3 linked regions of the Anolis sagrei genome follow. Each later gene encodes a partner of the first gene's protein in a complex. Links are inferred from orthologs where the notes say so. Each region holds a gene or a part of one and is shown in the gene's direction. Other genes may lie near its edges.

Region 1 (7,677 bases):
GGAGAGAGGGAGGGAAGAGAAAAGAAGAGAGAGAGAGAGAGAGAGGAGCGGCGGGTGCGTGCGGCGCATGCGCGAGCCAACGCGCTCTGCAGTGAGTGGGAGGGGTGAAGGGGAGTGGAGGAAGTTGGGGAGGGAGGGAGGAAAGGAGAGGCGGTGCGCGCGCTCCCGATGAGGGAGCGCGCGCACGAGAGCGCGAGAGTTGGGAAAGGGAAAGGAAAGGGGGGGGGGGGGGGAGAGAGGATTTATTTATTTATTTATTTATTTATCGTGTCATCAGCAACCATACCATTGTATTACATTTCTAACAGAACAAAACAAACACACCGATTAAAAAAAACCAAAAAAAACCCATAGATTTTGCAAACTTGGTAGTTGGTTAAATGTGCTTTGACCAGTATCTGGCCACTTGGAGTGCTTCTGCTGTTGCTGCAAGAAGGTCCTCCATTGTGCATGTAGCAGGGCTCAGGTTGCATTGCAGCAGGTGGTCAGTGGTTTGCTCCTCTCCGCACTCGCATGTCGAGGATTCCACTTTGTAGCCCCATTTCTTGAGGTTGGCTCTGCATCTCGTGGTGCCAGAGTGCAGTCTGTTCAGCGCCTTCCAAGTCGCCCAGTTTTCTGTGTGCCCAGGAGGGAGTCTCTCATCTGAGGTGCTGGGTTTGGGCCTGCCACTTTTGGACTCTCGCTTGCTGAGGTGTTCCAGCGAGTGTCTCTGTAGATCTTAGAAAACTATTTCTAGATTTAAGTCGTTGACGTGCTGGCTGATACCCAAACAGGGGATGAGCTGGAGATGTCTCTGCCTTGGTCCTTTCACTATTGGCTGCTACTTCCCGGCGGATGTCAGGTGGTGCAATACAGGCTAAGCAGTGTAATTTCTCCAGTGGTGTAGGGCGCAGACACCCCGTGATAATGCGGCATGTCTACTGCATGGACTATTGCAACGCCCTGTATTTATTTATTTACGACATTTATATGCCGCCCTTCTCACCCCGAAGGGGACTCAGAGCGCCTTACAAGGTATATATACATACAATATATTATTAACATAGTACAATATCAGTTTTAAATATTGCTATATTGCACTATATCAATTATACTGTAATATTATTAGTAATATTACATGTAATATAAATATATAATTATAATATCATATTATTAGTAGTAGTATTATATTGCATTACATTACATTACAATATTATAAATATTATATGTATATACAATGTATATAATACATATGTTGGCCTTCCAATGTCTACGACCCAAAAGTTTCGTATTGTTCAGAATGCGGCAGCCAGGCTACTCACAAGAACGCCCATGAAATGCCATATAACACCAGTGCTGCTACATTTACATTGGCTTCCAACTGAGTACCGTGGCCTGTATAAAATGCTAGTTCTGACCTTTAAAACTCTTTACGGCCAGGGTCCATCGTACCTTAGGGACCGCCTCTCCTTCTCTCATCATCAGAGGTCGCAACGACCAGCCCAACATGACTTACTCCATATACCGGATCCTAGAGAAGTGCACTTGGAAAGGACCAGGCGCAGGGCTTTTTCTATTTCTGCCCCTGCCTTGTGGAATTCCTTGCCGCCCTACATGAGAGCCATGCGTGACTTAGGGCCTTTTACTCTCGCACTTAAGACCTGGGTTTTTACTAGAGCATTCGATCTCTGTTGATTTTTAATTTTTGTATATATGTATTTTATCTTTTATAATTTAGCTGTAAATCGCCTAGAGCATTCTCGGATGGAGGGCAATTAATAAGTTATTCAAAGATGATGATGATGATGATTAAGAACCACATCCACTGTTTTAGTGTGGTCAGATGTGTTCCACACTGGGCATGCATACTCAGCAGCAGAGTAGCGCAGCGCAAGGGCAGATGTCTTCACTGTATCTGGTTGTGATCCCCAAGTTGTGCCAGTCAGCTTTCGTATGATATTGTTTCTGGCACCCACTTTTTGCTTGATGTTCAGGCAGTGCTTCTTGTAGGTCAGAGAATGGTCCAGAGTGACTCCCAGATATTTGGGTGTGCTGCAATGCTCCAGTGGGATTCCTTCCCAGGTGATCTTCAGAGCTCAGGATGCTTCTCTATTCTTGAGATGAAAGGCACATGTCTGTGTTTTAGATGGGTTAGGGATCAGCTGGTTTTCCCTGTAGTAGGCAGTAAGAGCACCTAGAGCTTCGGAGAGCTTCTTTTCAACCATCTCAAAGCTCTCTGCTTGAGCAGTAATAGCACGATCATCAGCATAGATGAAACTCTCCGTCCCTTCTGGCAGTGGCTGGTCATTTGTGTAGATGTTGAACATGGATGGAGCAAGCACACTCCCCTGAGGCAGGCCGTTCTTCTGTTTCCGCCATCTGCTTCTCTGGCCCTGAACTCAACAAAAAAGCTCCTGTTTTGTAGCAGGTTTCCTATGAGGCGGGTGAGGTGGTAGTCCTTTGTGATATTATACATTTTTCTCAGGAGGAGGCGGTGGTTCACACTATCATAAGCTGCTGACAGGTCTATGAAGACAGCTCCTGTGATCTGCTGCCTTTCAAAGCCATCTTCTATGTGCTGAGTCAGGTTCAACACTTGCAATGTGCAGCTTTTGCCTTTTCCGAAGCCAGCTTGCTGTGGGATCAGTCAGGGGTCTATATTTTCCCAGGTATTTGGGTGTGTTGCAATGCTCCAGTGGGATTCCTTCCCAGGTAATCCTCAGAACTCGGGATGCTTGTCTGTTCTTAAGGTGAAAGGCATGCGTACTCAGCAGCAGAGTAGCATAGCGCAAGGGCAGATGTCTTCACTGTGTCTGGTTGTGATCCCCAGGTTGTGCCAGTCAGCTTTCGTATGATATTGTTTCTGGCACCCACTTTTTGCTTGATGTTCAGGCAGTGCTTCTTGTAGGTCAGAGCATGGTCCAAAGTGACTCCCAGGTACTTGGGTGTGCTGCAATGCTCCAGTGGGATTCCTTCCCAGGTAATCCTCAGAGCTCAGGATGCTTGTCTGTTCTTAAGGTGAAAGGCATGCGTACTCAGCAGCAGTGTAGCATAGCGCAAGGGCAGATGTCTTCACTGTGTCTGGTTGTGATCCCCAGGTTGTGCCAGTCAGCTTTCGTATGATGTTGTTTCTAGCGCCCACTTTTTGCTTGATGTTCAGGCAGTGCTTCTTGTAGGTCAGAGCACGGTCCAAAGTGACTCCCAGGTACTTGGGTGTGTTGCAATGCTCCAGTGGGAATCCTTCCCAGGTAATCCTCAGAGCTCGGGATGCTTGTCTGTTCTTAAGATGAAAAGCACACGTCTGTGTTTCAGATGGGTTAGGGATCAGTTCGTTTTCCCTGTAATAGGCAGTAAGAGCACCTAGAGCAGTGGTTCTCAACCTTCCTGATGCAGTGACCCCTTAATACAGTTCCTCATGTTGTGGTGACCCTCAACCATAACAAAACTGTCATTTTGCTACCATTATGAATCATCATAAATATCTGATATGCAGGATGTATTTTCATTCACTGGTCAAAATTTGGCACAAATACCTGATATGCTCAAATTTGAATACGGGTGGGGTTGGAGGGGTTGATTTTGTCATTTGGGGGTTGTAGTTGCTGGTATTTATAGTTCACCTACAATCAAAGAGCATTCTGAACTCCATCGATAGTGGAACTGAACGGAACTTGTCACGCAGAACTCCCATGACCAACAGAAAATACTGGAAGGGTTTGGTGGGCATTGCCTTGAGTTTGGGAGTTGTAGTTCAAATACATCCAGAGAGCACTGTGGACTCAAACAGTGATGAATCTGAACCAAACTTGGCACAAATACTCAATATGCCCAAATGTGGAGTTTGGGGGGGGAAATAGACCTTGTCATTTGGGTGTTGTAGTTGCTGGGATTTATAGTTCATCTACAATCAGAGTATTCTTGACCCCACCAACGATAGAATTGGGCCAAAACTTCCCACACAGAACCCTTATGATCAACAGAAAATACTGTGTTTTCTGATGGTCTTTGGCGACCCCTCTAACACTCCCTCACGACCCCCCCCAGGGGTCCCGACCCCCAGGTTGAGAAATGCTGACCTAGAGCTTTGGAGAGCTTCTTTTCAACCATCTCAAAGCTCAGTTCTTGTGGGTTTTTTCGGGCTATAGAGCCATGTTCGAGAGGCATTTCTCCTGACGTTTCGCCTGCATCTATGGCAAGCATCCTCAGAGGTGAGGTCACCTCTGAGGATGCTTGCCATAGATGCAGGCGAAACGTCAGGAGAAATGCCTCTAGAACATGGCCATATAGCCCGAAAAAACCCACAAGAACTGAGTGATTCCCAGCCATGAAAGCCTTCGACAATACATCTCAAAGCTCTCTGCTTGAGTGGTAAATGGCACGATCATCAGCATAGGGGAAAAGGAGAGAGAGAGAGAGAAGTGTCCTAGTGAGGCGAGCGCGCGCGCTCGTTCTCGCGGCGGTTGGTGCAGTCCATCGCTTTGGAAAGCGGAAAAAGAGGTGAGGCGCGCGCGAGAGGCAGAGAAAGAGAGTGTGTGTATGTGCGCGCGCGCGAATGGAGGGAGGGGAAGTGTAGGCGCCTTCCAGGGCGCGCGCGCTCTCGCTCCCTCTACCGCCCGCTCGCCGTTGCCATGGCGCCGCTTGACGTCACGGGCTCTGTGTTGCCCGTGCGTTGCGACGCGGTGATTGGCGGAGACCCCGTGCGTGTGTGTGAGAGAGAGCGAGAGAGAGCGAGAGAGGCTGCTGCGAACGAGGGAGGCACAGTCCGCGCCGGTCACCCGCCTAAAGGGACTCTCTCGTAGTGTCGACCCCGCAAGGTAACGAACGGCCTCTCGAGGAGGGTGGGCTCTTCCCATCTCGGTCCCTCCCTCCCTCCGCTTCCTTTGTCTATCGTTTCCTTTCTTTCTTTCCGGGGGGGAGGGAAGGCAGTGGCGGGAAGAGCCCGCAAAACAGGAGAAGTGGGGGGGGGGGGGGGGGAGCGTCGGAAGAGGGAAGAGCCGCGGCCTTGTCTTCTCAGGGCGTCGGCGGCGCCATTCATTCCCTCTCTTGCTGGGGCGCAGGTGCCTCCCTCGTCCTTTCCCTCCCTCAGATCGAGAGGAAGGGAGGAACATGGTTCTGTTTGGAGGGAGGGGGTTTTAAGTGGGCGAGGCGGGGGCGCCATTTTTTCCCTTTCCCTGAGGCAGGTGAAGCCCTCAGGGCGGTGTCCCTTATTTTCGCCAGGAAGAAAGATGGAGGGAAGGGAGGGAGGGGGACTCTCCTCCTTCCTTCCTTCCCTCCCTCCTTCCCTCTCTTTCTTTTCTTTCTTTCTCTCTCTCTTCAGGCATGATGGAAGAAGGGGAAGTGCCCACACCGACCTCCTCTCCTCTTCCCTTCAGTTTGGAGGGAGGGATTTGGAGGAGAGGCAGGCGAGGTGGGGCGCCATGTTGGGGAGCACACTGCCTCCTCCATTCTATTCTCCATTCTCCATCCCTTTCTTTGCTCCCCCTCCCTCCCTCCTTGCCTGCCTCCCTTCCTTCCGCCGCCTCCACTCCTTCATCTCGGGCGCTTTTTTGAAAGGGTGTGGCCGCCGCAGGAGGAGGAGGAAGGGATCGCCAAGAGGCCGCCTCCTTCCTCTCTCTCTCCCCCCCTCTCTCTCCCCCTCCCTTCTTTCCTTCCTTCCTTGGCGAAAACCGGGAGAAATAGGTGGGTCTGTGGATCCTTCCACACAGCCATGTAACCCAGAATATCAAGGTAGAATATACCACAATATCTGCTTTGAACTGGGTTATGTAGCAGTGTGGGCTCAGATAACCCACAGCCCTTCCACACAACCTTATAACCCAGAATAAAATAAAAAAGAGAGGAGGGTGGGTAGTGTTTGAGGCTGCTGGTGATGATTGGTAAAACCTGATGTCTCCTGGACACAGTGATGGCTTAAAAGTACAATTTTGTGACTGGAGATCTGGATTAAGCCATTTTAGATTCTGTTCCACACTGAGAAATTCAACCCACCTAGGGCCCTTCCACACAGCCATATAAACCTGAATATCAAGGGAGAAAATCCCACAATATCTGCTTATCTGAGCCCACACTGCCATATAACCCAGTTCAAAGCAGATATTGTGGGATTTTTCTCCCTTGAGATTCTGGGTTATACGGCAGTGTGGGCTCAGATAACCCAGGGTCCTTTCACGCAGCCATATAACCTCGAATCTCAAGGCAGAATATCCCACAATACCTGCTTTGAACTGGGTTATATGGCAGTGTTGGCTCAGATAACCCAGGGCCCCTCCACACAACCTTATAACCCAGAATAAAATAAAAAAGGGAGGAGGGTGGGTAGTGTTTCAGACTGCTGGTGATGGTTGGTAAAACCTGATGTCTCTTGGACACATTGATGGCCTAAAAGTACAATTTCGTGACTGGAGATCTGGATTAAGCCAGTTTAGGTTCTGTTCCCCACTGAGAAATTCAACCCACTCAGAGCCCTTCCACACAGCCATATAAACCAGAATATCAAGGCAGAATATCCAACAATATCTGCTTTGAACTGGGTTATGCAGCAGTGTGGGCTCAGATAACTCAGGACCCTTCAACACAGCCATATAACACAGAATATCAAGGAAGAATATCCCACAATATCTGCTTTGAACTGGGTTATGTAGCAGTGTGGGCTCAGATAGTCCAGAGCCCTTCCACACAGCCATATAAACCTGAATATCAAGGCAGAATATCCCACAATTTCTGCTTTGAACTGGGTTATGTAGCGGTGTGGGCTCAGATAATCCAGGGTCCTTCCACACAGCTATATAACACAGAATATCAAGGAAGAATCTCCCACAATATCTGCTTTGAACTGGGTTATGTAGCAGTGTGGGCTCAAATTACCCAGGGCCCTTCCACACAACCTTATAACCCAGAATAAAATAAAAAAGAGGAGGGTGGGTAGTGTTTGAGGCTGCTGGTGATGGTTGGTAAAACCTGATGTCTCCTGGACACATTAATGGCTTAAACTTCTCCAGTGATAGGCTGCCTCAGGCAAGAAGAAGTACAATAATAGAATCAAAGAGTTGGAAGAGACCTCATGGGCCATCCAGTCCAACCCCCTGCCAAGAAGCAGGAATATTGCATTCGAATCATCCCTGACAGATGGCCATCCAGCCAATTTTGTGACTGGAGATCTGGATTAAGCCAGTTTAGGTTCTGTTCCCCACTGAGAGATTCAACTCAACTTCCACACAGCCATATAAACCAGAATATCAAGGCAGAATATCCCACAATATCTGCTTTGAACTGGGTTATATGGCAGTGTGGGTTCAGATAACCCAGGGCCCTTCCAGAATAAAATAAAAAAGGGAGGAGGGTGGGTAGTGTTTCAGACTGCTGGTGATGGTTGGTAAAACCTGATGTCTCCTGGACACATTGATGGCTTAAACTTCCCCAGGGATAGGCTGCCTCGGGCAAGAAGAGGTACAATTTTGTGACTGGAGATCTGGATTAAGCCAGTTTAGGTTCTGTTCCCCACTGAGAAATTCAGCCCACTCAGGGCCCTTCCACACAGCCATATAAACCAGAATATCAAGGCAGAATATCCAACAATATCTGCTTTGAACTGGGTCATGGGATGGTGTGGGCTCAGATGACCCAGGGCCCTTCACACAGCCATATAACCCAGAATATCAAGGGAGAAAATCCCACAATATCTGCTTATCTGAGCCCACA
Region 2 (7,712 bases), on another chromosome or scaffold:
AATGCTACCAGTTGAAATGTCACTCAATAAACAAGTCTCTGAGTTTTCTGGATATTGAACAAAGCTGGCTCACTACTTTGTGATATTTTACTTGATTGTATGAAAACAATGGATCCCCAGCCTTTTAACTCCCACCATCCCTGATCACAGGCCATGATGGATGGAACTTCTGGAAGCTCAAGTCCAAAATGTGTACCAACCAAAACCTGAGGAGCAGCCTTCCAGATTTTGCTGGATTACTAATATCAGCAGCCCTGGTGAGGAATCTTGGGAGATACACTTCAGCAACCTCTGGGGCTCCTTCTGCACTGCCATATAATCCAGATTATCAAATCAGATAATCCAGATTACCTGCTTTGAATTGGATTATATGAGTCTGCACTGCCATATAATCCAGTTCAAAGCAGATAATTTGGATTTTCTATGGTAGTGTAAGAGGATCTTGGAAGGCTCGTGATTGAACTCTTCAATATTTCTCAGATAAAAACCAGGCCCATGTGTCCAAGCAACCTTGGAGTGTGTTCCAATTGGGAAAAATTATTAATGAGGGAACACACACAAGCTAGAAGAGACTGTAGCACTTTGCTTCTCTCCCCTCTCCCATGTTGAGTTTCCACCCAGGGCCCTTCCACACTGTCCCTATATCCCAGGATCTGATCCCAGATTAGCTGCTTATCCCAGAATATCTGGCAGTGGAGACTCATATATTCCACTTTAAAGCAGATAATCTGGGATCAGATCCTGGGATATAGGGCAGTGTGGAAAGGCCCTCATCTTTCATCTGCCAGGGGTCATAGCTATGGGATCAATGGAGTTGTCGTATCACAAGGTCTTTAGCCTTCTCTGCCAAAAAGTGCTGGTGCCTCACAAAACAAGAAATCCTAGAATTCCATAGCACTGAGCCATGGCAGTTAAGGTGGTGTCAAACTCCATTCTTGTATAGTATAGATGAACCTTCCAACCGCCTATTCCTCTGGTCTGGTTGCCTCATCTACATCTTTCAAGACTTTGCAGGGAGCGTCTGTCACTCAAGATCCCTATCCTCCCACTACTTTAGGTCCCTTCCACACAGCTGAATAAAATCCCGCATTTTCTGCTTTAAACTGGGATATATGACACTGTGAACTCAGATAACCCAGTTCAAAGCAGATATTGCGGGATCTTCTGCCTTGATATTCTGGGGGTGTTTCCAGAGAGCACTAAATCACGAATTTTAAACTGGGACAAAAAATTCTGGGACTTCAGTAGAGGTCTACATACAGACTTGTTGGTCCTGGGAGTTTTGTCTTTGTTGTCCAGATCTGATGCTTTGTTGTGATATTTAGAAGCTTCCAAGATGGCTGATGCAGGACTTCCGCCTGAAACTTCTGCGGGTTTTTAAAAAAACCTCAAAATGCAGACATGCAGAAACTCACTGTAGTGAATCACTGCAAAAGTTCCATTTTTGTCCTGGTCAAGGAAACTGTGCCCTCCTGACATTTCATGAAGCATCTGCCACTCAAAGTTTACGGAGTAGGACCACTTATGCCCAAATCAGCACTGCACAAACAGGAACACAGACTTTCAAGCCAAGAACAGAACTTTGTCATTATTGACACCTTTTAGAGCCTGTCTGCCTGGCCATCTGTCCAGACCAGTAGTTCTAAACCTTCCTAATGCCGCGAACCCTTGATACAGTTCTTCATGTTGTGGTGAACCCCAAATATAAAATTATTTTCGTTGCTACTTCATGACTGTAATTTTGCTACTGTTATGAATCATAATGAAAATATCTGATATGTAGGATGTATTTTCATTCACTGGACCAAATTTGGCACAAATACCCGATACGCCCAAATTTGAACACTAGTGGAGTTGGAGGGGAGGATTGATTTTGTCATTTGGGAGTTGTAGTTGCTGGAATTTATAGCTCACCTACAATCAAAGAGCATTCTGAACTCCACCAACAATGGAATTGAACCAGTCTTGGCACACAGAACTCCCATGACCAACAGAAAATACTGGAAGGGTTTGGTTGGCATTGATAGTGAGTTTTGGAGTTGTAGTTCACTTACATCCAGAGAGCACTGTAAGAGAACAATGATGGGTCTGGACCAAACTTGGCACAAATACTCAATATGCCCAAATGTGAATACTGGTGGAGTTTGGGGGAAAAACAGACCTTGACATTTGGGAGTTGTAGTTGCTGGGATTTATAGTTCACCTACAATCAAAGTGCATTCTGAACCCCACCAATGATATAATTGGGCCAAACTTCCCACACAGAACCCTCATGACTAACAGAAAACATTGTGTTTTCTGATGGTTTCTGGCGACTCCTCTGACACCCCCTCAGGACCCCCCCTCCCCAGGTTGAGAATCACTGGTCCAGACAGATTTTGTTGTGTACTTGTGGCATTAAACAACAGGGTGCTGTTTCTGGGTTATACATGGCTGTTTCTGGTTGCTCTTCTTGTGAAAAGATGTACAACTTTATCCTGGACAGAGAAAATGTGCCCTCCACAAGTTTCATGAAGTTTCTGGCATACAAACAAAGCTTTTGCCTTCTACTCAAACATCACCTTCTTTTTTGGAACTGACCAATCAAGAACAAACATCTAAAACTCAGGAACAAACCCAGATAAAAAAAAATCTTGTGATTTCTGATTGCAGGAACATACAGACATGCGAAGATCCGCATATTCGGTTCAAAACTGCGATATTCCTGCACCTGGAAATCTTGTGTTTTTTGCCTTTTGTAGTGATTGCTTCCATATTTACAGGAAACAGCGTCTGGTCACCCTCCTGTTTGCTGCAGAAGCTCCTGGGATAGAGGTACTGTCTGGATGGGACCTGGGTTATATGACTGTGTGAAAGGGCCCTAGGTTATCTGAGGTCCCTTCCACACAGCAGGATAAAATCCTACATTGTCTGCTTTGAACTGGAATATACGGCAGTGTGGACTCAGATAACCCAGTTCAAAGCAGATATTGTGGGATTTCTGCCTTGATATTCTGGAATATAGGGCTATGTGGAAGAGCACTCAGTTATCTGCGTTCACACTCAGATAATGTGGGATTTTTTATGCCTTGATATTCTGGGATATAGGGCTGTGTGGAAGGGCCCTACAAGGGCATGATTTCATGATTATGAACTTCCCCAAATGGGACAAGATCCTTAGTGTCAAGGAGCCATTGAAGCTGAGCCCAAGGGGAGCAGGAAGAGCCTGGCACGACAAGGGCCCTTCCTCACAGCCCTATATCCCAGAATATCAAGGCAAAAGAAATCCCACATTACCTGAATGTGGACACGGATAACTGAGAGCCCTTCCACACAGCCATATAACCCAGAATATCAAGGCAGAAAATCCCACAATATCTGCTTTGAACTGAGATATCTGAGTCCACACTGCCATATAGTTGTTGTTCATTCGTTCAGTCATTTCCGACTCTTTGTGACTTCATGGACCAGTCCATGCCAGAGCTCTCTGTCAGTCGTCACCACCCCCAGCTCCTCAAGGTCAATCCAGTCACTTCAAGGATGCCATCCATCCATCTTGCCCTTAGTGGGCCCCTCTTCCTTTTTCCTTCCATTTTCCCCAGCATCATACTCTTCCCTAAGCTTTCCTTTCTTCTCATGATGTGGCCAAAGTACTTCATCTTTGCCTCTACTATCCTTCCCTCCAATGAGCAGTCAGGCTTTATATCCTGAATTATGGACTGGTTGGATCTTCTCGCAGTCCAAAGCACTCTCAGAGCTTTCCTCCAGCACCACAGTTCAAAAGCATCTATCTTCCTTCGCTCAGCCTTCCCTATGGTCCAGCTCTCACATCCATATATTCCACTGCCATATATTCCAGTTCAAAGTGGAAAATGTAGAATTTATTCAACTGTGTGGAAGGGGCCTAAATTGCTGCTGTCTTTCAGAAGTGCCCCCAGTGGTGCAGTGGGTTAAAGCGCTGAGCTGCTGAGCTTGTTGACCGAAAGGTCGCAGGTTTGATTCCGGGGAGCGGCGTGAGCTTCTGCTGTCAGCACTAGCTTCTGCCAACCTAGCAGTTCGAAAACATGCAAATGTGAGTAGATCAATAGGTACCACTTCGGTGGGAAGGTAACGGCACTCCATGCAGTCATGCCGGCCACATGACCTTGGAGGTGTCTATGGACAATACCGGTTCTTTGGCTTAGTAATGGAGATGAGCACCGCACCCCTGAGTCAGACATGTCAGGGGACAACCTTTACCTTTACCTTCAGAAGTGTGTGTGTTTATTTACAACTTTCTCCCCTTCCACACAGCCCTATAAAGGGAATATCAAGGCAGAAAATCCCACAATAACTGAGTTCTCTGAGTCCACACTGCCATATATTACAGTTCAAATCAGAAAATGTGGGGTTTTACTGAGCTTGGCGGAAGGGCCCTAAATTACTGCTGTGTTTCAAAGTCTGTGTGTGGTTCTTCCTTCACAACTTTTCCCCGGGTTGTTGTAGGTTTTTCGGGCTGTCTGGCCATGTTCCAGAAGCATTCTCTCCTGACGTTTCGCCTGCATCTATGGCAGGCATCCTCATAGGTTGTGAGCTCTGTTGGAAACTTTCCCCCGCCTTGAGCCCACTTGGACGCTGCTCGGTTTGTTGGGGGCATGGGGGTGTTCCTGGTGCTCTGGGCACTTCCTTCTTTTGCTGGGACAACCCCTCGACCCTCGCCTCGGTCTCCTCCTTTCTGCTTTCTCTGCCTCTCCTTTCCCTCCTCTTTGTCCCTAATTGAAAGCAGCGGCCTCTCTCTCTCGCGCGCGTTCGGGGTTCGGCTTGGCGAAGCAGGGCCAGGAGCGCCTCCTCAAGCCTTGCTGGGGAGAGCCAGCCCCAAACTTCCCCCTCAGCCACCCCGCCCTCGAGAGAGGCAGGCGCCCAGCTCCAACTTTGGACTGACTTCACTCTTTGAACTTGGCGCCTCCTGGACTCCAAGAAGCGCCGGGACTTGGAGGCAGCAGGAGCAGCCCTCCGTGTCTGCCTTGAGCCTGAGACGGGAGACAACTTGTAGAACAAGGGAAAGAGCCAGCCAAGAGGGATGAAGGCTCCTTGGCAGCAGAAGCAGAAGCAGAAGGAGGCGCGCTTCTTCTCCCCGCCAGGGCTGGCCCGCCTGCTCCTCTCCCTCAGCTGTTGCTCCACGCCTGCCCAGGCTTACAACTTGGACACGCTGAGCCCGCTGGTCTTCCAAGGGCACAACGGGACTTTGTTTGGCTACTCGGTGCTCCTCCACAGCGTGGCCCACACGCCCTGGTGAGTAGCCCTCGCCCCACCCAAGGGCAACTCTTCTGCCCAGCCTGCAGCCCAGCCACCCATGGCATCCCACATGCTCTTCCTGCTCAGACTCAAGGGCTCCTTGACACTAAGGACCTTGTCCTCTTTGGGGGAGTTCATGATCATGGCATCATGGCCTTTTAGGGCCCTTCCTCACAGCTCTATAGCCCAGAATATCAGGGCAAAAGAAATCCCACATTATCTGAGTGTGAAGGCCCTTCCACACAGCCCTATATCCCAGAATATTATAGGTTCTTGTGGGGTTTTTTGGGCTATAGAGCCATGTTCTAGAGGCATTTCTCCTGACGTTTCGCCTGCATCTATGGCAAGCATCCTCAGAGGTAGTGAGGTCTGTTGGAATTAGGACAATGGGTTTATATATCTGTGGAATGGCTGGGGTGGGGCAAAGAGCTCTTCTCTGATGGAGCTAGAGAAATGCCTCTAGAACATGGCCCTATAGCCCAAAAAAACCCACAAGAACCTAGTGATTCCAGCCATGAAAGCCTTCAACAATACAAATCCCACATTATCTGAGTGTGAACTCAGATAACCTAGCTCCCTTCCTCACAGCCCTATATCCAGAATATCAAGGCAAAAAAAATCCCACATCTGAGTGTGAATTCAGTTAATTGAGTGCCCTCCCACACAGCCCTATATCCAAGAATATCAAGGCAAAAAACCCCCACATTATCTGAGTGTGATAACTGAGGGCCCTTCCACACTCAGAATATCAAGGTAGAAAATATCAAGAATATCAAGGCAGAAAATCCCGCAATATTTTATTTGAAATGGGCTATCTGAGTCCACACTGCCATAAATCACAGTTCAAAGCAGATGATGTGGGATTTTATTCAGCTGTATGAAAGGACCCCCAGTTCAAAGCAGATATTGTTGGATATCCTGCCTTGATATTCTGGGATATAGGGTCAGTTAATACCTCCCAACAAAGGATTCCCCCAGGCTGGAAGCAGCCAAGCTTTGATGCTGCAAGACCATTCAATGCTAATCAAGATGATCAGTTGCAACATTCAGCATACAAGAGTTCTTTCTCCAACGCCGGACATTTGGCAGATATATAAACCCATCTTCCCTAGTTTCCAACAGACTTCACAACTTCTGAGGATGCCTGTCATAGATGTGGGCGAAACATCAGGAGAGAATGCTTCTGGAACATGGCCATACAGCCCAGAAAATTCACAGCAATCCAGTGAGTCTAGCCATGAAAGCCTTCAACAATACTTACCATATGTCTGCTGAACTTGCTGGTTTCTCCTTTACTAACCAAATTCATCCCTCAGTTATTACTTACAGCGTGTCTTCTGAATTTGGTGGTTTCTCCCTTTCTAACTGTTTTCATCCTTATCCCACCAGCAAGTGGATTGTCCACCCGTTCCCTCCCTCCCCCTTTTTACAAAAAAGGGCGTTACTTCGACATCACAAGAGTCCAAACTCTTGCTGGTTTGAGATTTGCATTCCTTAAGAAAAATAGTGATCTACTAAAGTAACAATATTTCTTAGTTCTAAATATATATTAAACAATTACAGACATTGATTGTGTGGCCACATTACAGCAGAGAAGTGGGGGCTTACTGCTGGTTAGTAGACCGCCCACAGGACAGCCCATTTGCCTACGTCATCCTATTTGAGTCAATGTAGGCAATTCTGACGGCTCCTATCCCACATGTTTTGGGCACTTTAGAAATGGAATATCATGCATCCAAGACAATTGAGATGCTTTCAGATCGTCATCTCCCCCATCCCCTTTTTCAACGATTACATGACAAATCTTGACAGGCAGAGACAGGAAGTCCCCCTGCATCGTGGGATGGGTTCCATTGCTTTCCATTCTATAAATGTATACATAGTGTTTAAAACTGGGGGGGGGGGGGGGGTCTCGTTGGATAAGGCTCTGTGCTTGTTTGAGCGAGTGAGCTAGAGAATAAGACTTAGTTTAATTCTCTCTTGTCTTCTCCATCCTGCTGTCTGAATGTTGAGGAAGGGACAAGAGAAGTGTGTGAGTTCACAGCCAAAGCAAATAACGAAATGAGGTTGTAGTTTGTTTGTTTCTTTACTAAGAGTTTGAGTGACTTATGTGGGGTTCAAAATCCCACTCACCGAAGTGCCAGGGCTTTGGAGTGTGACTTGTTAGGACTCTCATCTAGTTACCTGGCGTATTCTGGAGATCCCATGAATGTCATTAGGGTGGGGGGAGAAAATAATACAAAGAGGTAGAGTTTGAGTGATTTGGGGGGGGGGGGGTGAGATTCCAAATCAACCAAGTGCCTGACATGTAAACATTTGATTTCTCCAGAGTTCTCCTTCAAGTCACCTGACATGGTCGCTGTTTTCAAATCAACTGGGGTCTTATGGCAAACCCACTAATGGTGACTCCATGGATGTCATTGTAAAAAATAAAATAACAGTTTTCGCGACTCAATGGG
Region 3 (7,940 bases), on another chromosome or scaffold:
CCTCCCTTCCCTCCATACCCTTTCTATTATCCTCCCCACCCTGATCACTATAGGGGCTTTGATGCCTCCCATCTGGAGGACCCTAGATACCCTCAGCCCCCCTGTGCGCCTCCCACGGCCACACTCTCTCGCCCTCAGGAAGACCAAACTGAGGCCCAAACCCACCCACCCGAGCAAGATCCCAACAATCCACCCCTGCCAGACTCAGAAACCATCGACCTTGAATCCAATGATGACACACCTGCCATCCTGGATACCCAACCTGACGCTGACCCCTCCCCTAAAAATGTGGAGGAATTCAAAAAATTCTCAGCTCTTTTAATAAGACTAACTAGAACCTTAAACTTAGCCACTCCGGAACCTACCGATACGGTAGCTGACCCGTGTTTTACTTCCACTGAACAACAACAACCATCATCCACTGTGTTGCCCACTCTACCTTACTTATTAAAAATTCTCAAAAATAATGGAGTTGCCCCGGCTTCTGTCCCGGCAACTCCTAAGAGGCCTGAAAACTTGTACCGTATTGACCTTTCCTCAGCTTCATGGCTTGCTAAAATGCCTAAAGCAAATTCTGTTGTGACTGATGCTCAACCTAAACCAACTCAAATTAACCAAACCTCTCCTTCTGATAAGGAAGGAAGAAAGTTGGATGCTATGGCCAAAAAGTTCTACTCCTCAGCATGCCTCTTTGCACGCATGGCTCACTATGGAGTATACATGAGTGTATACCAGACTGCCTTGTGGAACAAAATTGCTCCCTATCTAGACCTGTTACCACCAACTGAACAACCTCTAGCCACAGCTTTTAAACAAGAAGCTCTCCTTTTGGCCTCCCTACAAAAAGACCTCTCCAAAAATATTGCTGACACCGCAGGCAAACTTATTGCAGGATCAGTGGCCCTTCGTCGCCACGCCTGGCTAAGAGCAGCTATCCTTTCTCAATCACAACGCACCCTGATTGAAAATCTCCCCATGGATGAGGCAGGCCTTTTCAATCCTGAAACAGACTCTCAGTTAAAACACTCCCATGAAATGAAACAAACAGTATACAAGTATGACCATCAACCATACTCCTACCAACGCCAACGATGGGGCTCCTATTATTACCGTCCTCAATACTACAATAGGCCCTACAACACCTCATTCTACAGGGGACGACAAAGACCTTACAACCCCTCCACATCATCAAGACGACCGCCCCTACCTTCCAGAGGTCAGTACCGTGGTACCAGGCCCCCCAATACCAACAAACGCCGTTTTTAGCACACCTACACTTACCGACACTCCCTCACCACCCCACACCCAACCGCTTACATACCTTGACAGACTACATACCTTCCTTCCGACATGGCAGTCCATAACCACAGACACCTGGGTCTTGGACATCGTTGAAAGGGGTTATGCCATAGAATTTGACAATTATCCCCCAGTGGGTAATGTACTGCTAACACCACCTTCCCAAATCATTTGGGAAGAGATTCACTCTCTCCTCCAAAAGGGCGCCATCTCGCCTACTCCCTCACAAGATTCAGACATCTGTTTTTTCTCCCGTTACTTCCTGGTGGACAAGAAAGATGGTGGTCTACGCCCCATCCTTGATCTACGTAAACTCAACACTTTCATTACACCACGTAAATTTCATATGGTGACACTCCCCAAAATCCTTCCCTTCATTCCCAAGGACTCATGGTTAGCCACGATTGACCTTCGAGACGCCTACTTCCATATTTCAATTAGACACTCCCACCGCAGGTTCCTTACCTTTGCGGTCCAAAACAAACTATTCTCTTTTAATTCTCTCCCGTTCGGACTTTCCACATCTCCAAGGGTATTCACCAAATGCATGTCTGTTATAGCCGCACACCTCCGCCAGCAAGGCATCACAGTTTTTCCTTACCTGGATGACTGGATGTTTTGCTCATCCTCTCGATCACAACTGTGCAAGGATACTGATTATACTTTATCTCTTTTACAGGATCTGGGTCTGGTTGTGAATCACGAAAAATCTCACCTGACCCCAACACAACGTATCCAATTTATAGGAGCCATAATAGACTCCACACTTCAGAAGGCCTTCCTCCCAGAAGATCGCTTCCTAAATCTGTGTCAGGCTATCCTAACCCTACAACAATCCCGCCAAACATCAGCTTGGGCTATCCAATCTATCCTTGGCCATATGGCTTCTACCACAAGTGTAACACCCTTTGCCCGTCTAAGAATGAGACCCCTCCAAAGTTGGTTTCTCAAAGCGTTCGACCCCCTTCACGAACCCCAGTCACGGGTCCTAAAACCACCACCCCCTGTCCTCCAGTCACTCTCATGGTGGACAAAGCAATACAATGTTCTCTCGGGGATGCCATTCAACCATCCCCGTCCCTCCATGTCCCTCACAACCGACGCCTCCAACTCAGGTTGGGGAGCACATCTCAAGGGATTCCAGATCAGTGGCCACTGGTCCCCACAAGAGCAGAAGCTCCACATCAATGCCTTAGAAATGATGGCAGTGGAGAAGGCTCTTCGGGCCTTCACACGCATTGTGTCCAATCATGTCATACAAATAATAACAGACAACACCTCTGTCAAATACTACATCAACAAACAGGGAGGAACACGCTCACGCACACTCCTCCACATCTCACAACAAATTTGGGAGTGGTGCATTCTGAAGAATGTCCTCCTCACAGCCATCCACTTACCAGGCCAGGACAACATCCTGGCGGACTCTCTAAGCAGATCCTCAAAAAACAACCACGAGTGGCATCTCCACCCCAGACAGTTCAAAGCCCTCACACGCAAGTGGGGCGAACCCAGAATAGACCTATTTGCATCTCCAATAAACAACCACTGCCCACTCTACTGCGCACGGCTCCACCCTCGCGCATCCCAAGGTTGTCTCGGGGACGCCTTCCTATTCCAATGGTCGCCCGGCCTCCTCTACCTCTTCCCACCGCTCCCCCTCCTATCCCCAGTCATAGCCAAAATAATTCAGGACAACACGGACTGCATTCTAATCACACCCTGGTGGCCACGACAACATTGGTTTGCCCCCCTTCTCCAAATTTCCAACAAACAATACCTCCACCTCAGCCAAACCCCGGACCTTCTCACAGTAGAGAACGGCCTGGTCCTACACCCCGACCTGCAATCTCTACGCCTAACGGCGTGGAGAATCAAACCACACTAGACCTTTCTGATGAAGTCTCCCGTATACTTTTGGCGGCCCATAAACCTGCCACCAAGAAGTCATATGACTATAAATGGGCCTCTTTCAAATCCTTTGCTCACTCACTGGGACACAACCCTATCTCTGCCCCAGTTCCCTTTGTTTTAGACTTCCTTGTCCACCTTTCCGACAAAGGTTTCTCCCTTTCTTCGGTGAAATGCTACCTGTCAGCCATTTCATTTTTCCGAAGGAAGTCCGGGCTGCCGTCCCTTTTTCAGGACCATCTGGTACAGTTGTTTCTTAAGGGCTACAAAAATATCCACCCTCCTGTCTCCCCCCCTCCCCCCCAGTGGAGCCTGGAGCTAGTGCTATCCCAATTATCCAAACCACCATTTGAACCTATGGCCTCTAATGATATCTCCCACCTGTCGTGGAAGACGGCCTTTCTTGTGGCCATTACTTCAGCTAGGAGAGCCAGCGAACTCGCGGCCCTCCGTTCAGACCCTCCTTATGTGAGATTCCACCCTGACAAGGTTGTCCTCCGCACCGATGTCACGTTCCTTCCTAAGGTGGTCTCTCATTTTCATATGTCACAAGACATTGTTCTACCAAATTTTTTCCCCAACCCAGTTGGAGGTAGTTCTGCACTCCCTTGATGTTAAAAGAGCACTCTCCTTTTACTTACATAGAACTTCCGTTTATAGGAAGTCTCCCAGATTGTTTTTGAAATACAGGAAAGACGTACTTGGCCAGCCTGTGTCCTCCCAAGGACTGGCCTCCTGGATTGTTGCAACCATCCGTCTAGCCTACCAGCTCGCAGGGAAAGAACCTCCATCCCACCTCGTGGGACATTCAACCCGCTCTGTGTCTACATCTCAAGCATTCCTCAAGGGAATTCCCTTGGATCAGATTTGCAAAGCAGCTACGTGGGCTACGCCGTCCACGTTCGCCGCTCACTACAAGCTTGACATACAGGCAAAGCAAGATGCTAGCTTCGGCAGAGCAGTTCTTTTCTCCTGTGTGGCATGACCCACCTCCAGGTCAGTAGCTTGCTATTCACCCATAGGTGCGCATTTCACGGACGACACGAAGAATAAATAAAGGTTGCTTACCTGTAACCGTATTTCTTCGAGTGTCAGTCCGTGAAATCCGCACGACCCGCCCGTCCTCCCCTCTGTCATGCCATTCTCCTGGCTGCTGTTTAGCGCTGGGAACTAGATAATGGCGGCGCCGCTCGGCGCTTATATCCAGGGGGGCGGGGGAATGGGCGGGGCCTAGGTGGCTCAAATAATCATTTTTAATTCTTTAAACTTAGAAATGTTCCGAGTTTCTGCGCATGCGCAAAGAAGAACCCATAGGTGCGGATTTCACGGACTGACACTCGAAGAAATACGGTTACAGGTAAGCAACCTTTATTTTCTCGATGTTCAATGACAGGCCGAGTTTCTCGTATGCTTCTGCAACATTACAGTTATGAAGTAGCAATGAAAACAATTTTATGGTTGGCAGGTCACCACAACATGATGAACTAACTGCATGAAGGGGTGGCGGGATTGGGAAGGTTAAGAGCCACGGCTCTACTTGAGGAAGGAAAGCAAGCGATTGGGCGAAACCCTTCCAGGGCAGGGCCAGCAGGGGGCGCTCTTCCGCAGGGATTGCCCCTGGCCAACCGTGGGCGCTGCTGCTGCTGCTGGGCGGCGGGTGTTGACGGGCGCGCGGCGAGCTCCGCCCCGTTTCCCTCCCTCCCTCCCTCCCCCTCCCGAGGGGCGGGGCCTCTCCTGGCTCAGGCGCGGAGCGGCAGAAGCGGCGGAGGCGGGAGCGATGCAACAAGTGTCCCGCGAGCAGAGCGGGGGCCCTTTAAGTCCCGGAAGGCCGGCGCGCGCCTCGATGGTGCCGGCTTGGGCTCCGAAGCGGCGATGAGTGACAAGAGCAGCGAGGCGGCGGGCATCACCTTCTCGGTGCCCAGCCTGGTCGGGGGCGGATGCCCGCTGCTGCTCTGCGAGGACGCCTTCGGGAGGAAAACCGGGGCCGGGGCGGGCGGAGCGGGGTCCTCGCGGGCAGCTCCGCCCGGCGCCTTCTGGAACGAGGAGAGCGGCCACGGGAGCACCACCGTCGCCTGCGAGGCCGGGGCCCGGTCCCGGGGGGCCCGCCGGACCACGGTGTCGTACGTGATCAACGAGGCCAGCCCGGGCGCCGTCCTGCAGGCGGAGAGCGGGGCCCTGCAGAGCCTGCGCGAGGCGTGCGAGACCGTGGGCGCCGAGCTCCAGGCGCTCCACTTCGGGAAGCTCGACTTCGGAGAGACCGCTGTCCTCGACCGATTCTACAACGCCGGTGAGGCAGGCCCCCCTCCCCTCCCTCCCCCCTCCCTCTTCTCCCGCCCTCCTTGCGTCTCCACTGGAGGACGAACGCGCCTTGGCAGCCCTCCCTCCATGCTGGGGAATCCCCGACTTGCAAACATCCCACTTGCAAACGACTCACAGTTCAGAACGGGGCGGAGACAACAGGAAGTGAGGGAAATCAATGTATTGTCAAGGCTTTCATGGCCGGAATCAGGAGCTCCCCGTGGCGCGATGGGTTAAACCCTTGTGCCAACAGAACTGAAGACCAGCAGGTCGGAGGTTCGAATCCGGGGAGAGCGCGGATGAGCTCCCTCTGTCAGCTCCAGCTCCCCATGAGAGGAAGATGGTAAAACATCAAAACATCCGGGCGTCCCCTGGCAACGTTCTTGCAGACGGCCAGTTCTCTCACACTAGAAGTGACTTGCAGTTTCTCAAGTCACTCCAGACACGAAAACAACAACATGGCCGGAATCACTGGGTTGTTATAAGTTTCCCAGGCTGTATGGCCATGTTCCAGAAGCATTCTCTCCTGATGTTTCACCTGCATCTATGGCAGGTATCCTCAGAGGTTGTGAGGCTTGGTCTCAGGCCCCATCCTTTCCCCCCTCTGAGGATACCTGCCATAGATGCAGGTGAAACATCAGGAGAGAATGCTTCTGGAACATGGCCATACAGCCTGGGAAACTTACAACAACCCAGTGAGAGAAATCTTCCCTTTCAGAAGGGAAATTTGCTCCTGAAAGAGTTGTTGTCAGAGCGGAAAGGTGTCTCCGCTGAACCTTTCTCACCCGTCCTTCAAATGAAATTTCCCAAAATGATCACAGGGACAGAAATCGAGGTGAAATCTCCCGAACAGGGGCACAGGCAGCAAAGGAAATGCCACTGGGATGTTCACTCTTCCATAGGCTATCCAAAGTATTCCCCTGACGTTAAGTCTAGTTGTGTCTGACTCTGGGGGTTGGTGTTCATCTCCTTTTCTAAGCCAAAGAGCCAGCGTTGTCCGTAGACGCCTCCAAGGTCATGTGACCAGCATGACTGCATGGAGCACCATTACCTTCCCGCCTAAGCGGTACCTATTGATCTTCTCACATTTGCATGTTTTCAAACTGTTAGGTTGGCGGAAGCTGGGGCTAACAGCAGGAGCTCACCCCACTCCCTGGATTCGATGTGCCAACCTTTTGGTCAGCATGTTCAGCAGCTTAGCATTTAACTTGCTGCGCCACCAGGAGCTCCAGGATATCCAAAGCTTGCATAATAGATATTGCTGGAGATTGGCATTTAAGAAGGGTACCTGTTCAGACTTCACACATTCAATTTAAGAACAAGCCCACAGAACCCCTCTCATTTGTCACATGGGGACTGCCTATACTGGAAGGGGTGCCTTTACACTGGACCAGGAGTGTACAAGGGAATCCTGGGATTTGTAGTTTTACAAGAATTTGCAGTTATGAGTGCAGATTCATGCTGCTTGAACTGTTGTGGACTTCCTATGGAGTTGCACTTTGGCGAGGCAACCAGCCCTCTTTGGCTAAAAAAGACTTAATGAAACCACCAGCCCTTCCAGACAGGCACTTTATCCCAGAATCTGATCCGAGGTTTTCTCTTTGTCCCAGATTATCTGGCAGTGAAGACTCATATAATCCACTTTAAAGCAGAAAACCTGGGATCAGATCCTGGAATATAGGGCCTTTCTGGAAGGGCACTACGACACCAATGATTGCATATCATTGAGCCAGAGCTGTTAAAGCGACATCAAACTGCATTATTTCTGCTGTGGAGATCAGGGAGCCTTCCAGCTGTCTGGGACTCCAGCTCCCACAGTTCTTGACAATTGAGCAAGTTGGCTAGGGCTTCTGGGAGTTGGAGGCCCAAACAGCTGGAGAGCTGCAGTTTGAAGACACTTGGTGTAGATGCAAACAGTCTTTCTTCCCTGTCAGCACAGGAGGGCCAAGGGAGGCAAGGCACTTCCTTGACTGCAGATGAGAGATACTGAAGGGGAAGGGAGTCCCCTTCCTTCAGCACTTCCAACCCCTTCCTAATATAATAATTCTTGTGTACCTGCAGTGGAACCTGTTGGAGTATAATCCCTGGAATGGCCTCCTTTATCTCTAAGGCCTGGCACTAGAATTTTGCCCCCTTTCCTGATTTTGGAAGATTTTCATATGCATAATGGAAATGGGACACAAGCCTCAGCACCAAATACATTTTTGTTTCATATTATACACCTTATCCAGGGCCCTGGTGGCACAGTGGGTTAAACCACTGAGCTGCTGAACTTGCTGACTGAAAGGTTGGTGATCCAGATCCAGGGAGTGGGGTGAGCTCCTGCTGTTAGCCCCAACTTCTGCCTACCTAGCAGTTCAAAAACATGCAAATGTGAGTAGATCAATAGATACTGCTTCGGCGGGGAGGTAACGGCGCTCCATGCAGTCATG

The links. The genes of interacting proteins can lie anywhere in the genome.
Region 2: the proteins of YWHAZ (region 1) and ITGA4 are in contact, whole or in part, in a crystal structure (PDB 4HKC), measured with the Homo sapiens proteins. The link is inferred for Anolis sagrei from reciprocal best matches to the Homo sapiens genes YWHAZ and ITGA4. Residues at the interface, in NP_001129171.1 of Homo sapiens: Lys49, Arg56, Lys120, Arg127, Tyr128, Glu131, Gly169, Leu172, Asn173, Val176, Tyr179, Glu180, Ile217, Leu220, Asn224, Leu227, Trp228; in NP_000876.3 of Homo sapiens: Arg1007, Gln1008, Tyr1009, Lys1010, Ser1011, Ile1012, Leu1013.
Region 3: the proteins of YWHAZ (region 1) and MAP3K5 are in contact, whole or in part, in a crystal structure (PDB 6EJL), measured with the Homo sapiens proteins. The link is inferred for Anolis sagrei from reciprocal best matches to the Homo sapiens genes YWHAZ and MAP3K5. Residues at the interface, in NP_001129171.1 of Homo sapiens: Val46, Lys49, Asn50, Arg56, Lys120, Arg127, Tyr128, Glu131, Gly169, Leu172, Asn173, Val176, Tyr179, Glu180, Ile217, Leu220, Asp223, Asn224, Leu227, Trp228; in NP_005914.1 of Homo sapiens: Ser964, Ile965, Ser966, Leu967, Pro968, Val969.

The regions. Positions count from the first base shown.
Region 1 is NC_090024.1:30,751,470-30,759,146, forward strand, and holds the start of YWHAZ (14-3-3 protein zeta/delta), read left to right. Parts: upstream 1-4,667; 5' UTR 4,668-4,793; intron 4,794-7,677.
Region 2 is NC_090021.1:188,019,332-188,027,043, reverse strand, and holds the start of ITGA4 (integrin alpha-4), read left to right. Parts: upstream 1-4,710; 5' UTR 4,711-5,038; coding exon 5,039-5,250; intron 5,251-7,712. UniProt on the Homo sapiens protein: Integrins alpha-4/beta-1 (VLA-4) and alpha-4/beta-7 are receptors for fibronectin. They recognize one or more domains within the alternatively spliced CS-1 and CS-5 regions of fibronectin. They are also receptors for VCAM1.
Region 3 is NC_090021.1:79,747,540-79,755,479, forward strand, and holds the start of MAP3K5 (mitogen-activated protein kinase kinase kinase 5), read left to right. Parts: upstream 1-4,938; 5' UTR 4,939-5,082; coding exon 5,083-5,497; intron 5,498-7,940. UniProt on the Homo sapiens protein: Serine/threonine kinase which acts as an essential component of the MAP kinase signal transduction pathway. Plays an important role in the cascades of cellular responses evoked by changes in the environment.